3 linked regions of the Yarrowia lipolytica genome follow. The protein of the gene in region 1 binds, or shares a complex with, the protein of each later gene. Links are inferred from orthologs where the notes say so. Each region holds a gene or a part of one and is shown in the gene's direction. Other genes may lie near its edges.

What was found.
Region 2: YALI1_D23693g (region 1) and YALI1_F04027g share a complex: the UniProt entries of both Saccharomyces cerevisiae proteins name them as parts of the SEA complex. The link is inferred for Yarrowia lipolytica from reciprocal best matches to the Saccharomyces cerevisiae genes SEA4 and NPR2.
Region 3: YALI1_D23693g (region 1) and YALI1_D01123g share a complex: the UniProt entries of both Saccharomyces cerevisiae proteins name them as parts of the SEA complex. The link is inferred for Yarrowia lipolytica from reciprocal best matches to the Saccharomyces cerevisiae genes SEA4 and IML1.

The regions. Positions count from the first base shown.
Region 1 is NC_090773.1:2,367,069-2,372,906, forward strand, and holds YALI1_D23693g (uncharacterized protein), read left to right. Parts: upstream 1-2,195; coding exon 2,196-5,015; downstream 5,016-5,838. Other genes in the region: YALI1_D23668g (uncharacterized protein), read left to right, coding at 1-72, 125-171; YALI1_D23688g (uncharacterized protein), read right to left, coding at 187-1,698; YALI1_D23721g (uncharacterized protein), read left to right, coding at 5,062-5,189, 5,265-5,370. UniProt on the Saccharomyces cerevisiae protein: Component of the SEA complex which coats the vacuolar membrane and is involved in intracellular trafficking, autophagy, response to nitrogen starvation, and amino acid biogenesis.
Region 2 is NC_090775.1:400,409-404,597, reverse strand, and holds YALI1_F04027g (uncharacterized protein), read left to right. Parts: upstream 1-1,845; coding exon 1,846-3,378; downstream 3,379-4,189. Other genes in the region: YALI1_F04045g (uncharacterized protein), read right to left, coding at 1-92; YALI1_F04001g (uncharacterized protein), read right to left, coding at 3,586-4,189. UniProt on the Saccharomyces cerevisiae protein: Component of the SEA complex which coats the vacuolar membrane and is involved in intracellular trafficking, autophagy, response to nitrogen starvation, and amino acid biogenesis. Mediates inactivation of the TORC1 complex in response to amino acid starvation.
Region 3 is NC_090773.1:110,440-118,400, forward strand, and holds YALI1_D01123g (uncharacterized protein), read left to right. Parts: upstream 1-1,947; coding exon 1,948-2,148; intron 2,149-2,668; coding exon 2,669-7,150; downstream 7,151-7,961. Other genes in the region: YALI1_D01188g (uncharacterized protein), read right to left, coding at 7,343-7,961. UniProt on the Saccharomyces cerevisiae protein: Component of the SEA complex which coats the vacuolar membrane and is involved in intracellular trafficking, autophagy, response to nitrogen starvation, and amino acid biogenesis.

The DNA.
Region 1 (5,838 bases):
CTCAGTTGGCTCTTCAATGTTGTGGAAATGTATCGCAAGATGGAACGGGGCTTCTTTCCCTGGAAAACCTGGGTCTGATGGAGGGTGAGAGCTCTATAATACACTCACACAGATGCGTCACTAGAACTGCGTCTCACAAGAATTGCCATTCTAAAGTCTCCACCCGCTTAAGTAGTAAAATGCGAATTAATATGTACAAACTTCTCCTCTCAATCGGAACGCTCTCTGCCGATTGTCCTTCATTCTGAGTCCTCGTCTCAGGTAGTTAATAATGAGCGAAAACCGCCGCAGGGTCTCGGCATGCACCCGCGCAGTGATGGACTCCTCATACTCGGGCACCCGTCGCTTGCGCGACTCCAACGTCTTGTAGCAGTCTCGCTCAATGTCCTCCATTGCCTTGATCAAGGCTCGAGATTTGATATTCATCAACGCAATGTCTGACGCGAGCACCGACAGCGTGGAAAGATCTCGGTAGAACTCCCACACAATCCTGATCATAGTGAAGTACACGTCTGTGGACACGGTAGCAAAGTAGAGGTTGCCGGAACGGGTTTTGACGGCGTCAAACAGAGCCACGGAGTCAGCAGGGGACTCGAACTTCTCCACCAGAAGCTGCAGAGACTCGTTGAGCAGAAGAGGGAACCCGGCAGCCACAGGCGGCAGTTCAGAGGGGAGGTTTTTTCTGCTCTGGCCAATGTCCTCGATCTCATCGAGCTGCTTGTTCATGAACTCAAGAATATCGTAGTCAGAATCCAATCGAATCAGCTTCTTGAGTTGCTCCATCATAGCAATTTCCACCTCGGTACATTCCTTGAGATCCAGAGAATCAATCCGATCATGTCGAACATCCATATCGGGCTCGGCACAGATCTCAACAAACATGTCAGGAACACCAGAGTTGAACAGATTCACATATGGCGAGTTGATAGAGGAAAGCTCGACTCCACTGGCTTGTCTGATAGCATCCAAGTTTGCGGTTTCACGGGACTCGTACTCAGACTCATGTGACATTGGTGGCGTTCCTGCTCCTGTTGCTGTCTCCGTAGCCGCTTCTTCCCCCATAACTTTTGCAAAAATCTTTTCAAACGGCGCAGAGCTCCCCAGAGCTCCTCCAAACTCGGACGGGGGAATAACGTGTGTACTTATTTGGTCGCTGTTGCCTCTCAACGGCGACATATCCAGGTTCTGGGGCATGACATATCGGTTCTTAGGCTCTTCGGGGAACATATCAGACTTTCCCCATTGATCGAATCCGCCGGACCAGTCGAACGTGGCATTGTTGTGATCGTCTTGGCCAAGCGCGTCGAATGCCTTGGTCTCGTCCTCCATGGCATCGAATTTGAATCGGTTGGTCTTGTTAAATCCGGAGCTGAAATCGTCGAAACCGATATCTGAGCTGTCCAGGTTGTCGTCGTTGAAAGAGAACTTGCTAAATGTCAGGGGATCGTCGCCCTGCTCTTTCGTGGCTTTCTTGAATGCAGCAAACGGGTCCTTGAACGAACCCCTAGCCTTGGTGGAGGGAGGTTCAAACTCGCCAATAAAGGTGTCTTCATAGTCGGATTTTTTTCGCAGCACGTAGGCCGAGTGCAGGAGCCGCGTCTGCCGGCCTGTACAAACCTTGTACTGTGCTCTGAGCATTTTTGAGAGCAGTGTCGGAGTAGCGGAGACACTGAAAACGGTGTTGAAAATCAGGTGCATAAAAAAATGATTTGAGATGCACACTGTAACCTTGTTTAGTAGCTAATCTTCCAGCTACGTTTAGTTGGGATATTACTTGGCTTTTTAATTGACTAGTTGATGGTGTGGAGGACTACACTGTCAGTTCTACAGACGATTGTGGGTTTTTGCTGAGTCGAAAATCTTGTCGAATGACCCTCGCTGTCGTTTATACGTCTTACCCCTTGGGCTATCTCGTATACTCTCCTACTGCTAAGCAAAACACATTGTGTTCTCCAGCCCGAATCGAACTCACGATAACATCCGACTCTAGGCGCCATGCACTATCATTATCACCCTACATCTCCGGACTACATCACAGCATCCCCGGATTTCGACAAGCAGAGTCGACCCAGGGCCCAAACCAAGACGCGACATAGCTACATCTCTGCTGACCTCACCGCTACTTTCAGAATTCGAAGCGGACGTAAATTGACGATTCTACGAGCCAATACCCAACTCAGGTCATCCCCAACAAGATGACGACTTTTGGATCAATCGCTCACGCGTACCAATGGGACTCTCTTCCTGGTCCCGGCGTCGACGGACACCACATCATCGGCGTGTCGCCTACCCGAGACGAGGTGTCGCTTTACCAACTTCCCCTCAATCACAAATCGTTCTTCAAAGACAGCTTCACCGAGCCAGAGAAGATCAGGTATCGAAGCGGCTTTTCGGCGATCCACTGCTCGGCATACTCGCCCGTCAACAAGGGCATCATTTCTGTGGCGCAGCTCAACGGATCGGTGCTTCTATTCGACATCAACAACCCCGAGTCGCAGGTGGTCAAACTACGCTCCAAACAGAGCCGAACCTGCAACGCTCTAGCCTTCTCTGACAATGGAATTCTCGCGGCGGGACTGGAAAAGACACGTAACGACAACTGCCTGCATATCTGGGACGTCAATGCTGTTGTGGAGGGCGGCAATATCACTCCTCTCAGCACCTATCTCCCGAACGAGATTGTGTCGAGTCTGGAGTTCATCCCCAGGACTCATAACGTGCTCTGTGGCTCATACAAGCTGTTGCGTGAAATCGACACCAGATCCGGAACTCCTCTGTACCAGTGTGCCACTCGATGCACTCTAGGAATCACCACCTACCCCCACGAACCCAACTACTTTGCATCCTACGGAGAAGATGGAAGCATGGCCGTCTGGGATCGACGTCAACTGCGACAGCCCGGAGGAAACTCGTCAAACGAGCCGATGCTACTATTTCCACGTCTTCTTTCCGAACTCCCCAGAAAAGCGAACGCTACTCACTTGAGATATTGCACCACCAGACGGGGAGAAATGACCGTCTATGGAAACACAGACTCGTCCATTCGTCGAATCGATATCGGTCTGGCTGTTCGAAGTGATGATGACGTGTATCAGAATCAACAGAACAACGAGCCCACATCAAGTACGTCTCAGAATCGGTTTTTCGACTTCCAAAAGCCACCGTCTGACCCCACAGCTTCTCTTGACAAATACCTGTTTGTGCGGTCGTCCAAGGACGTGGAGATGCCGCTCGACAAGCTTCTGGGCTTCGACTACATCCACGCCGAGCCTGAAAAGTGTCCTGTCGAATACATTTGCATGCGACGAACAGGCCAGGTGTACTGTTTCCGGCCCAAGGAGTCGCCCGAGGTTCTGCGGTTCGATCCCCTGAACACCCTCACGTTCAGCAATGCCACGAACGTGTTTTTTGAGACGCCCAGTGATGAAGTCCGAGAAGTCGATTTCAAAAATCAGCGCGAATCTGTCGTTTCGGTGGTTTCTCCAGACGTGTCTTCTGACGAAGAAGAGCCCTCCCCACGTGCTCGTAACTACAGCAACGACTCTCAGATCGGGCTGATGAAGCTCAGAGACATTTTGGATAACGACATCTCCACCATCATTCGAAAACGAGCTCTGGCCGGCTACGGACTCGACACTGCTACCAACAAGAGTCTGCTCAAGAGCCACAATCACAGTCTCTGGCCTGCCCATCTGAAAAACACGTGGAAGTGGATTTCGCGGGCCCAAAAGGCCGATATTGACCGGTCAGTTGTCTCTGAATTCTTTGACCTTGGCTACGAGGGCATTCTGGACGTGTGGCAGGGTGTCCAGGGTCTTGCTCTGCAGCAGAATCGATTATTGAAAAAGGACGCTACGGAGTCCCAGTTTGCCCAGGCTATTCAGCTGGCGATGGAGACGGAGTTCACACGCAAGATTTACATCTCCGCGTCTGTGGCGGGCACAAAGAAGCAGTTCCAACGACAACTATGCTTGTATGTTGCTGGTTGGGATTTCTCCTACGACAAGCTTGAAGCCGAGATCCAGAAAGCCGAAGGTAAGGGCGAGTACGAGAAGGCAGCAGGTTGGGCGGTGTTCCATGGCAACGTGGAGCGAGCTGTCCAGTGTCTTGCTGGGTCCAAGAAGGAGCGGCATCGAATCATTTCGACCGCCATTTCAGGATATCTGTCTCAATCTACAAATGCCAACTCTTCCTGGCGAGAGCAGTGTCGACGGCTTGCTTCTGAGCTGGACAATGCCTATTTTCGGGCCATTTTCGCCTATATAGCCGATGGAGACTGGCTGGATGTGCTTGCTGAGTCTTCTTTGCCTCTCAAGGAACGCCTGGGTGTGGCTCTTCGGTTCCTTCCCGACAATGATCTCACCAGTTATCTGAACCGACTGGGGGATCAGGCTGTTAGCAGAGGAGAGCTGGAAGGCATTATTTTGACCGGAATCACTCCCCGGGCAGTTGATCTGCTACAGTCTTATGTGGATCGAACTGGTGATATCCAAACGGCAGCGCTGTTGACCTCGTTTGGAGCTCCTCGGTTCTTTGAGGATGAGCGGTACTCGCAGTGGATTCTGTCGTACCAGCAGCTGCTCAACCAGTGGGGAATGTTCAAGGAACGTGCTTTGTTTGATATTGCGCGTACCAAGCTGAGCCAGAATTCCTCTGGATCGGTTACTGCGGTCACCAAGCCTCGACAGGTGTTTCTTCGGTGCTCATACTGCAACAAGAACATTTTCAAGGACGAGTCTAAGCCCGCAACTACGTCTACTCCATCTGCAAAGTGCCCGCATTGCAACTCGCCTCTTCCTCGGTGTGCCGTGTGTCTGCTGACCATGGGAGAAGCTATGCCAGACACCCGCGTTGAGCAGGAGAAGAACAACTTTGCTTTCCACCAGTTTTCGCATTGGTTCAGCTTCTGTCTGAGCTGCAATCATGGCATGCATGCGGGTCATGTGCAGAAATGGTTTTCCAAGCACGATGTTTGTCCTGTTCCGAATTGCAGCTGTTTGTGTAACAGTATTTAACTGGATGGCAATCGGAACGAGTCAACGGAACAAAAAGCCCCTGGTCATGAGTCGACAACTTCCCCAAACCCCACCTCACTGTCCAACCGCTTCTTACTTAACGAATCAACTTATTATTGAAGAATGTGTTTACCTTCTTGATATGGGATCATGGAGCATATACAAGTACATAATGTACTAGAATTCTCGGCTTAGATCCTCCACATACATGCAAGGCCTTGTTGGGTGCTCCTGAAACACCTCTGCGAGTTCCCTGAACTGTTGGAGATGTTGCCTACAGGAGCTCGAAGAAGATATCGATGGGGGGAATGGTACAAGGTCGGAAACGGACCATAGAGGGCTACATGCTTGGTGAGCCTGTTATTGGCGTGTGCAAGACTGGCCAATTGTGTTGTGGCATTCTGGAGAGATATCGAGATGTCCACACACGGGTTGCTGGTGGCTTAGGTAATTATATGCCTACAGTATTTACTTGTAACAATACTGTAGCTTACTTCTAAATCATTTTTATTCAATTAATCTTCAACTAAGACTCTGGTGAGTCAACTAATTAATCTAGTGAGACTGAACATACAATCGCACTATCTCGAACACTAGCGAGGGATATTTGAACAACTAATAGAGAACGACTAAGCCGACAATAAAAACTACTTTTTGTTGTCTCGGAATCTCTCCATCTCGTATCATTCAGTAATCATATTGTTTTGTTAAAACCCGCAACTAATAGTGTCACTACTACTTAACCTACCTAACACCATCCTCCTTACTCCCTCCAACTCAGTCAAAAAAAGCTCAATTGAGAATGGGTAAAAAAAGTCTTGTT
Region 2 (4,189 bases), on another chromosome or scaffold:
CGGCCCTCGACGCCAAACTTGAGCTCCTTGTGAGCAAAGCCTCGGATCTGCTGGGGTCGCAGACGGCTGGATCGTGCAATGACTCGCTGCATTTTTGTAGTAGAGAGAAATTTGGTGGTTTGAATCAATCGACCTATGTGCGGTTGGGACAAGGCGAAAATTTATACCCAGGCCAAGGTTCGCGGTGGAAAGTTCCTTAGAGTTCTCTGCTGGGGTTAGGGCTCACCCCAGGGATTACTGGCTGTATTGGCTATGTGTGGCGGCGGGTGGCAAATCAAAGACTTGGTTTCGTGCTGTATTATGTGACGGTTCCGATTCCTTCACTTGTGGGAGCAATCCGCCTGTTCCGACCCATGTTCATTGCTGCCTCAATTACCTCTCTTTTTCAGGTCTCTCTAGTCTTCGGCCGAAGAGTATCCGAAGTCTGGGGTTGTAAAGCTTGTTTTTTTGCCCGCAGAAGAAGACGGGGCCAAAGGTGCCACAAGGAGTGCAAGAGCAGATCGGGAGTATTCGAGGTGTTGGCGCTGGGAAGAGACGGTGGTCTGGCCGCTCAGTTTCCGTACGCCATCAATTGACCAATTGACACCCCAGATCAACATCCGACAACCGCACACTGTTTTGAGTCTAACTTGAAGGCGTTGAATCCAAGTCTCACCGCTGGTTGTTCATACGATACAGAACATCCACCGCACGTACAGAGTAAATTAGTCATATCATATGAGACGCATGCCTGTCGCTGCCTGTCGCTGTCTGTCGCTGTCTGTCGCTGTGAGCTACTGCTGCTCTCCTGCACACGCACCAATTGATCCGTATTGAGCGGGGTATGTCGGCGGCAGTGGGCGGTAAAGTGGTTCGTGAGAGCTACGAGTGCGATGCTCGAAGCTCAGATGCAAGACAAGTTCAGGCGGAAGAGAAAGAAGCTCAGTTGATGGGTGCTAGGCTCGTGTTATAGGAGCAATAAATAGTGCACTGTGGCAAATCAGCACTCGATAAATCGTGAAAGCCGCAGCATGATGAACGTGGAACGGTCATAGCAACAACTCGTGCTGGTGAGTCTTTTATCAGCTCGCACTGAATGCACTGAATGTCTTCGCTTGTAAGGCTGCAAGTAAAATCTACAGCACGAGAGATACTTGGAGTATTATCGCAGTGAAATGACGTAGTTGGAGAAAAAGGAAAAAAGTAAAACGTATACTGAATGTACACGGTAGTGTGCAATTGCACAACTTGGAATGCGGGCATAACTTATACAGTATAGTGATTACTTTTACCGGCTTTCTTTGGAAGGCGAGTGTATTGTACGCGGCTACAGAACTGGAATTTTCCTCCTTCAACTAAACTTCCGACAAAAATAACAAGTCCTCAAAAATCAATAAAAGGCTCATCTCAGCATAGTAAGATGGTATTAGGACATCTAATTACATACAATTGCTTCTTCTAGATCTGTATCTATCAATTGAGAAATATCTTGTGGCTCTGTGACGTAATATCATGGATATGTCCTACTACAGGTGCCTTGTCTTCCTCAACTATAGGTAGCTCAACTACTTGTCACATTCAACTACACATGAACTAACTCAACTATAGTGAACAAACAAATGCATGGATTAGATTGCTTGAACAGCACCTTCCACCTATCATTCTCTGAAAAAATAAATAGAAGGCTCAATTCTTTTCCTCATTTTACTGAAGCGTCGTGTCCCCCTTCTATCTACCGTCTCTCCATCACTCCCTGTACTGCTCTCATCTCCCTCCCACAACAATGCCTATCGTTATCATGCAGGTGGGACATCACCACATATCATATCACCCTCACCACGTTAAGCCTCACCTCAAACACACGACATGGACTTTTACGGCTTTGCGCCGATTCTGGCCATTTTCTACTCCACGTTCCATCCCACCGAGGGTCCACGAGTCGAGGTTCAGGTGCCCCGCGACTCGATTGTGCCTGATGCCGAATCTCTGGATCAGCCCGGAGCTCTGGTGGCCTTCAACGCGGTGAAAAACTACGTCATCCCCAAGCCGCCTCTGTGCAACCGCGTCGTAACCATTAAAAGTAACGCCTACCGAGTCTCTTCGTACCCGGTTCACATCTACTCCAACGAGTACGCGCGAAACTCGTTCATTTTCAACTTTGCATTCGTCTTCAGCTACGAGTCAGCCTCGGGAGCCTACGATGCAGCCATCAGACGGATAGGCAAGATGTTCGAGGCGCTGGAGATCCAGAGCAAACTTCTGTCGGCCCGACCAGACATTGTCTTCATCGACAATATCATCCAGCAGCTGTTCCAGGACCTAAACAACTACTCGGAATGCCTCGTGGCCATCAACGACTCCAACGCCATCAACATTAAACTGTTTCCCATTTTCCCGTCGCCTCCAGACCTCAGAGCGTCGTACGTTCCCATAGCAACTGTACGTCTGGAACAAATGGTGGACGAAAACTGGGATCCCACCATGGAGAAGATTGTGCCGTTTATCAATGGGATCAACTCCATTCGTCGGATTGCAGACCTCGCAGATGCAGACTACAACCTCACCAAGGATTGCATTCAGCAGCTCATGTACTACAGATGTATCATCATCGTGGACCTGTTCCAGTTCTCCAACATTTACGCTCCCACCTCAGACATTGGAGATTTCATTGAAGACGCAGATATGGGTCGAGAATGCCAGGCTTATGTCTTTTCACCTGCAGGAACCCTCGGGGGCATGATGCCTGCTCCAGGACTCAATAGAAAACGACACATGTCACGAACCAGCTTGTTTTCGAATGAACTCTCAACTTCTTTCAGACAACGATATGAGCGCCAGATGAGAGATCAAAGTGGGCACTTGAGTATTCCTCCTTTGTCTTCGTCGGCCACATCTGCATTGTCTACCTCATCATCATCGTCTCTTTCTCAGCGGTCCAACTCGTTCTCTTCTTCTCACTCCATGTCAGGAACTGTTCCCTCCGTTGTACAACTGTTCAAGTTGTACAAGTCGTTGCATCAGGGCCAAACTCTCGGCGACTGGTATGCAGAGAACCAAAAGGAGCTCGTCAACATTGATATTCGGCGCTTCATCACCTTTGGCGTTATCAAGGGTATTATTTACAGAGCTCATTCATATCCCATTTTGGAAGGCATCACTCCTTTCAACAGAAACAGACACGTGCAGGACGTTTCCGCAACTCCTCGGGGAGGAAGACGACGAGTGGGTCTGGGCCCTGATCAGGAGCGAATCAAGAAAGAGGAGGTAGATGGAGTCCTGGCCAAGCTCGTAAAGCAGCCAAAAAACTTTGACGCTATTTCTACAGCTTTACAGCTGCCCAAGGAAGATGTGGAGAAGGTACTTAGTTCCGAAGGTGAATGGGCTATTGTGACGGCGTAAGGAGATGATTAGTTAGTTTTTATTTATATGCATATGTCCAAACCAAACCACAGAAACGAGTACAAGTATTGGAGGATAGGTGTTCACGGTAGAAGTCGAGGGTAGTGAGGACCAGAAGCTCGTGGGAGACAGGACGGAACACAATATGGCTTATAGATAGGGAGTTTGGAGTTTTTGGTAGTTTTTGGCACTCGCATAACCAGATTTCTAGCAATACGTATCACTCTTGCCTTTCTGTCTCAGGTCCAACAAGGCCTCGTTCAGATTACCCTCCTTGTTAGACTTCTTCAACTTGACAACCTCATCAGGATCAAGAGATCTTCCAGCACGCTCCTCCAGGGCCTTTGTACTCATGGCATAGTATGTCACCGCCTGTTTTTCGGCCGTGGTCTTCTTTCTGTGAGACGATTGAAGTCTTACTGTGAACTTTGATGCTTTTGCTCCATCTTCAGTAAGGTTGATCTTACCGTTCTTGATCTCAATATAAGCATCATAGGACGTTTTTATCGTCCACGAAACCCCCGCGTCGCCTTTTTCTCTTTTGAAAGTAAACTGCTGCGGAGTACCGATGGCAACACTGTCCAGCGAGACTACTCCAGCCTTATCCACGCCCAGAAAGACGCCCAGAGACGGAACTTTGAGAGCAAACCTCGCCACCGTCTCGTCGATATCAATTGTCCGTTTATTTGTGTCGAATTCCAACGGCGAGAGAAGGAGAACTTGCTGTGTAGATGTCGGTTCAGCTGTGTCGAGACTCTTGTCAACTGTATCGAGGTCGAATGATACTGCCATTGTAGGAGAGTGGGTTTTG
Region 3 (7,961 bases), about 2.3 Mb from region 1:
AACCCACGATGACTCCTCCCTGAACACAGTTCTGTTTAGAGCTTGATGCAGTGTTCAACAAAATTACGTAGCGGTGATTTCCTGCTTATAAATAGCCGTTGTTGTTTTGATTCAACCGGTATCATTGGCCTGTCTCAGCCTTTGGATCCCATTTACCGGTCTTAGAACAGTTTCTTACACATGCCGGCCACTTATCTATGGTTGCTACACCTCTATATCCCGCACGTCGAGGCAGCCTTGGAAACTATCATCTCCAACTTTGATTGTGGACAAACACGTACTTGTACTCATACCAGAAAGAGAGAAACACGTACATACCCGTACATGAAGAGTGTGGGGAGAATTAGGACTCCGGTATGGCCATGTGGCTCATAATCTGTGTTTGTTAGTGGTCCAGTATGAATGTAAGTACAACAGGTACATACTGTAGATACATGAACTTCAAGTTGGGTACTTGCAAGAGAAGAGTGAAGCCATGTCATAACCGCTACTGACGCATTCGGTATTGCGTCTCAGTTGCGTCTCCGACACGTCGGACGAGCAAAACGTGGCATTTTACACACAAAGCGACCAAAGCCTTCTGAGCAACTGGCCGTCTACATTCCGGTGTTGATCAGTTCGAGCATAACGTGTGGGATTTAAGACGAAGATAAGATGGTGTATTAGCGTGGTAGAGACCTGGTCACGTGACATATACAAGGTGTGAAGGCAGGGCATCTCTGTGAAAGACCAGACCATTATCTCTTAAGACTACTGCCAACACAGCGTGTACACATACTCTTAGTCACCACATGGCCTCGGCTCAGTAGGACCCTGCCTGAACCTATTTTCGGACAATAGGGCTGAGCTCATAGCAAGCTTTTGCCTTTGGATGGGCGATCAATTAAACCTACACAGTGAAGTAGAAGGAACAAGTCCGAAAGCTCTTGAGTGAAACAGTGTGGTTATATGAAGCACTCTCAGTAAGCACTAATACTTCTATGGCTCAATGGGGTAATTCGTCCCGAGACTTCTACCTCTCCCGGGCCTGTTGAAGGTGATTCTGGTGAATACACTTAGGGGTTCGTTGAAACGAAGTGTGCTGGGGGTGACTTTTAGGCATCCCAGAGAGAAAAACGTTAGAGAAGAGCAGATAATTCAGGGGAACAAGTACGAAACGTGAAGATTTGTCTGAGAAAATTACCCATTGGCTTGAAAATCCACCGTATTGGTGGAGGGGTCGGAGTGCGAGGTGTTAGAGATCATTTTCAGAGTTTTGGTGGATGTTCTTTTGACGATAGCAAGATGAGAACATATCAACCGTCGAAATATGACACTGACGTTGATATTTGCAAAAAGAAGGCACATGATTGTCTTCCCCGGATATATCTGAATGATTCCAAAGTTTTTTTTTATTATTATAACGTGACTATTCTTCAAATTATTGTCCTGTCCATATTACTTGCTCCGAACAGCACCCGAAGTATTTGATTCCCTTAAGATTGCTCTAAATACCTGGTACAAGGGGGAAAGATTTGGTGTTATCAAAAGGGTAGCGTAATTGAACACAGCACATTGGGTGGAGAGTCCCTTCCACAAAATGTGAAAACAATAATTTCAACCTTCTCCCGCCCTCCTATGCCAAGTCTATCTAACAAATATAGTCAAGAAACCCAACTATATCCTCAAATTCTAAACTGCAAAGATCGTTTTAACAAGTTGGTCCCACTCCACGAATAATGGCATCACATAAATTTCAAAACCACCATTGAATTTCCCTTGCTCGTATCTTGAAATGTCATCCCTGAGTGTCATCTGATACACTCCCGATAACCCACAAATACCCCGCCAGCTCAAACTCTAGCTTACATAGATTAGGCGTGTTTCGGGAGCACCAAAACATCAGCCATAAAGATCACGACTTTACTTGACCAACCCCACAACACAGGACACCATAACATCAACGCCATGACGACATGGGTTTCGTTGCAGGCGTGGACACACGACCAGAAAACGTGCGCCGAAGAGGTCATTGTGGATGTGACATCGATTCCTGGCGCCTCGGAGGGCGATATCGCCGAGTTGAAGAGTGGTGACAAGAGCCATAAATTGTTGTTTCAGGTGACGCCCATTCCCCAGGAAGTTTTGGATCGAATTCCTACTTGTCAGGTGAGTCACACAAATTCCAAACGACTGACCAAAGGTCAGGACGCCAGCTAGCATTGCAGGGAGAGAGTATCTTGCAAGGAGTGCGCTAGACGATCGACGCAACTCGCACGAGCAACACAGAACAACATCAAGATAAGAACGAATCCACTGATTTCCAGATGTCATTGATTGAATGTGATCTCTAGTCGTGGGCACCAATCAAGATCATTGGTCCAATGCCTCTATCTCAATCAAGGCTTGGGTAGTGTTCATGGTTTGATCTGCTATCGTGTGTACTGCAACAAATCAATCCCACGAACGCTCCTTCTAGCAATGGGTCTAATGGTTGGAAAGTCGTATTTCATTCTGTGGAGTGACTATGGCTTCTTGTGCAACTGTGTGTCTGCCTACCTGTGGCACACGGTTGTCTGGTCATTCCAGAAGTCGCTCTGTGTGGAAGCTCGTCTCATACATCACCTTACTACATTTTATATTGAAGGTGTTTCTTGTTTTTCTTACCTCATTTCATCTATTAACGCAGCTCTCTATCAAATCAGGTAACCTGCTTTCCTCTCTCGGGGTAGCTGCCCGATCACAGGTCCAAATCAAACTGCGCAAAAAGGAACAGGTGGAAGCCGACCTGGTGGAAATTTGCTTCAAGGAAACTTACCTGACCCGAGCAGACATGTGGCAGATCACAACCATGCTGCGGGAAAGTTGCGTGTACCACCAGAAACGAATAGTCTTTTGTGACGTGATTCGATGCTGGGTCGATAGCATTTTCAAGAATGGCCGCAAGGTGTTTTCTGCTTACATTGGGCCCAACACCAACATTGTGTTTCGGTCCGAGTCGTCCCGTATGATCATCATCATCCAACTAAGTCAGGAAACGTGGCATTTTGAGGAGACTGGCGAAATCATCTTCCACAGAATGGTCAATTCGCTTCTCCCTGATATTTTCAAGCAATGGGAAGAGAATGAACACCACCATACAGTGACTATTGTGCTGTTCACATCAGTTTCCATGGATTCTCATGCAGTCAAGCTAAAGCGCGGAGAGAAAGCAAAAGACGTACAGGACTTCTACAGAGTAGTCTGCGATCAGGTCCAACTGTCTCAATGGGAGCAGATCATGGTGCGATTGAGATTCGAGTTCCAGAACTTTGCCAAGGAGGTTCTGACGGAATCCCATGCCAAAAGCCATACTGAAATCCGAGGACGCATTCTACCCTCGGTCAAGAGCAACATTTTGGGTGCGATCACCCTCGCGGCGTCTCTGGTACATTCACCGGCCATTGACAGAGACCTAAGGAGAACCAATGTGGAGGTTATTGTGGTGTCACCAGGTTCTGGAGTCTATGAAGTTGAGTACGATGCTCTATATAGAGCGTCGGAGAAGATTTCATCCACTGAGGTTGGAGTAGACATCATTTGCATGTCCAAGGCTCCTCTACATGTGACACCTTTGTTTCTCTACAAACCGAAGAAGTGCTCGAATCAGCTTGAGTACTGTGTTCCTTCTTGGATTGATATTTCTTACTATGGAGACTCGGACTTTTTTACCAATCAGTGGGTCCCTCGGTGCAAAATCTACGAGATCCAAATGATGGGAGTCATGGAAAACGAGCTCTCGGCTATCACGATTGACTATCTGAACAAACCCAGCGGAAAGAAGCCGCTGTCAGAGTACTGTCGCGAGTACGATGCTTCGTTGTTTGGCCCAATCGCTGTAGAACTGTCTGTGGAGGATGCTGCATCTGTGGTGTCCAAGATGCGGTCCGATACGTTCCCCAAGCTGCCTGTGAAACAGCTTCTTAGCAGCAAGGGCAGTATCTCTTCTTTGCATGCACCCACAGCTGTCACCTCCAAAACTCCTCCTCCTAAGGCATCAGTGAAGGTGGCTGATGTGAGGCCCAGCCCAGCGGCGTCCAAACCCCGTGTCAGTGCTCTGACGTCTCTTTTGGCGTTTGGAGTTAGGGCAGAAAAGAGTGCTCCTGCTTCTCCCGCTTTGTCTGCTGTCAACACATTGTCTTCTATCCAGTCTATGGACTTGAGACGTGATAATGACAGTGTTAAACGAGACACTGAGAGCATAGTAACAGACGACACTGTCCACAATACCAAGGCTGAGCCTAGAATAACAGAGATTGCGCCCATAGCACCTTCTCTGCCTTTTGCACCCAATCTCAAGCCAAAAAAGAGCACTTCTACCCTTTCTCAGTCTCCCACCTACAACCGAATTGCAGCTACACCTGACCAGGAGGTCGAACGGCGGTCTTCTCTCAGCCAAAAGGTGCAAATGGGACTCTCGGGTTCTCCTCTAGACCACAGAGGCAAGGTAGCCAAGGCTGCATCGGCCAATGCCAAGTCTATCAACACAGAAACTACGCCTGAGAAGAGAAACATGATGTGGAGGAACATCAGAACACCGTCCAACATTTCCCAGGACGAAATGCTCGACATTCTAACTTACTCTCGATGGAGAACGGTATATCCTCAGAAGACCAAGCGTCGGTCGGCCAAATGGAAGCTTCTGGCTTCTCCAGCCGCACTACCTCTTCGAACCAATATCTTTCCCACCGTGGCAGAACTCCAGACAGAGTACCGGTTCCAGGTGTACGATGTGAGTTTGGACACAGATATGGAGAATGTGCTGGGTATCCATGGCTTGTTCCGAGAGATGGTGAGTGTCCGGCTCTGCAAGGGCTTCCAGCTTGCTATTGGATCCCGTGTACGCCACGTGGAGTCTCAGAGAAGCGATGGTCGGCCTTCAGCTATCACCACAGACATTGGGAAAGATGCTCTAGGAGCTGTGGTGTATCTCACTACCGGTGATCAAGTTCACCGAATCTCCTGTGACTACTCTGGCATGATGAATGTCCAGATTTATCATGCTATTGATAAGGTAGATATTGAGGAGCCCGTTTTCGACATATATGCTCGTCGAACCTACTCGGACAAGTTCAAGCATTTCATATTCCCACCGTTCGACACTTCCTCTAAGCGACTGAACTGGAACTTGTATGACCATTCACTTGCTGGGTACGATACGGCAGGTTCTGCAGCCACTCAGACCCGTTTGAACCAGCTGCGGGTGGTTCTGATCCCCAGTTTCTTGTCGCGATCCAAGAATCTCGGTCATGACGACTCCTCAGAAGTGTACAATGCCGAGGAGGTCCGATTGGATGGTTTGCGACGCATTCTTGGAGGTATTTACCGCCATAGCATCTCCCGAGATGAGGATAAGGAGCGAGCCAAGATCGCACCCAACCTCAAGTTTTACACTGGCGAGTTGGAGGACTTTTTATTTCAGATTGTGGAGTCTAATCCAGCTGAATTGGCTGGTGGTAGAGATTCTCTTTTTATGAAACGTAATCAGCGATTCGACAAGAACATCAAGCTGGCTCAGCTGGCGACTGAGCTTCAGGCTCCCAAGGGTGGCATCCGATTTTTTGACCGACGATGGCACTGGAAGTCATACCCTCACTGTTTCATTGGTCAGGATTTCGTCGAGTGGCTGATTGACAATTACTCCGACATTGACACTCCTGATGAAGCTGTGGCGTATGGAAACGAGCTGATGAAGAAGGACTTCTTCGTGCACGTTGAAGACCGACATGCTTTCCTTGATGGTCATTACTTCTACCAGCTCAAGAGTGAGTATGCCACTGAAGCCACTGACAGCAAGCCTGCGGAGGAGAAGAGTGGCTGGTTCAACAGTAAGCGAAGTATGGCCTCCGTCAGTTCAGAGAAGTCATTGGGACGGTTTAAAGGCTCTCGAAATCAGTCTGTTCAGTCGTTTGGTGACTTCCTGTCCCTTTCTCGAGTCACTTCCAGGTCTTCGAACGACCAGAAGGAAGAGGAAATCAACCCAATCACCGTGGAGATTTCCAAGTCTGTGCGTGTTGATCTGGATCCTTCCAAGAAGTCGTATCGACCAGAGACCGTGTTGATTCACCACGATCGAATCCACAACCCCCGGAAGTGTTTCCATCTGCGATTCGAATGGGCCAACACCACCCCCAAGTTCATTGAGGACTACATTTCTGGTCTCACTCGAACTTGTGAGCGATACGGACTCAAGTTGGTCGAGTTGCCCATTCTCGAAGTGTCTGCTCTTCTCGAACACAACCCCTTTGCTTCAGAGATCACTCTGGACATGCCTACTCTGGACCAGCTGAGCGGACTGCCTCCCCATGTGCTGGAATACTACGCTAGCGACCCTCATGCGATTGCACGCGAGATTCTGCATCATTTCGGCTTTGTGATCGACACTCTGAGTATGTCTGACTGGAAGCTTGCTGAAGTGCAGATCCGGAACTCGTGGGGTGTGCCCACTTATAAGTACAGTCAATGGGTTGAGAAGAATGGTCTGTTGATTGCTCAGGTGGTCGGTGATCAGATTATCATGATCCCCAACAACCTGCAGCTCAATCGTCAGTCTGGAGCTCAGTCAAATGCCATTCAGCTGCAGAGTGAGGCTCAGGGTATCATTCTGGAGATGCAGTATCTCATGTGTCGGTCTGAAAAGGTGCGGGATATGCTTGGTAAGGTGAACTTGTCCCCTGAGGCATCTCCTGGCACCATGACTCCGGGGGAGGAGGGCTCCAAGAACGGTACCCCGAAGCTAGCAATTGAGGCCAAGATGGAGGGCCGAGTTGAAAGTCCTCAAGTTGAGTGGAGGGAGGACGTGGAGATTGCCCCAGAAGTTGAGCACAAGGGCGGAGCTGATGGTGATGAAAATGATGAGGAAGGTGATGAGAAATCCGAGGAGGGTGACAAGGGCGAGAGTGAGAATGAGAACGCAGGTATGGGGATGGAGCAAGATGGTGAGAACGAGAATGAGAACGAGAATGAGAACGAGAACAGCAAGGACAACAAGGCGAACGAAACCACCTCCGAGGTCAAGGAGGTCCCTGCTGGTGTTGAAATTGAACACAAGGAACATGTCGAAGAGGATAAGAGTGACGGGCCTGAGCCGAAGAAGGAAGATAAAGGCAAAGAGGTTGAAGACGACAAATAGGTTATATTTATTCATGGTATTTGAAAAACGTCGAGTATTGGTCTATAGTAATTAAGGAATTGTATGAGCTACTGAACATACTAGTACCGTATGTAGTTCACAGTTCTATGGGTCGTATAAACTTATATTTGCTAGTTACAATCGTGGTTTCATCCCATCTAGGGTATGATACTGTTCGCCTGCGCTAACTTCCTATTTGGCAAGTCGCTGGGCAGCCTTGAAAACGTCGGCAAGAACACCAGCAGCAGTGACCTCGTCTCCAGCACCAGCTCCCTGGATGACCAGAGGGTTGGGGTATCGCTTGGTCTTGAAGGCGATAATGTTATCGGAGCCCTTGAGGGAGGCAAAGGGATGAGAGGCATCGTACTTCTGAATACCAACCTCGACCTTGCCGGTGCCCTTGTTGATGGAACCGACGAATCGGAGAACCTTCTTCTCGGCGAAAGCCTCGTCTCGAAGCTTAGCAAGGTCGGCGTCATACTCGGGGAGCTTCTGGAGGAACTCATCGGCGGAAGAGGCAGTCTCGAGGGGCTTGGGAATCAGGGACTGAACAGGGAAGGCAGTGGGAGACTCCACGTCGAAGCCAGAGAGTCGAGCCAGAATGGTGACCTTTCGGGCGACATCCAGACCATTGAGATCCTCTCGGGGATCGGGCTCGGTGTATCCGAGCTGCTTGGCCTTGGTGACAACGTCGGAGAACTTAACGTCAGAGCCAGAGAGGGTGGAGAACTCGTTGAAGATGTAAGACAGAGTTCCGGAAACAATACCCTCGACGGTCTCGACCTCGTCACCGGTGGCAATGAGGTCATTG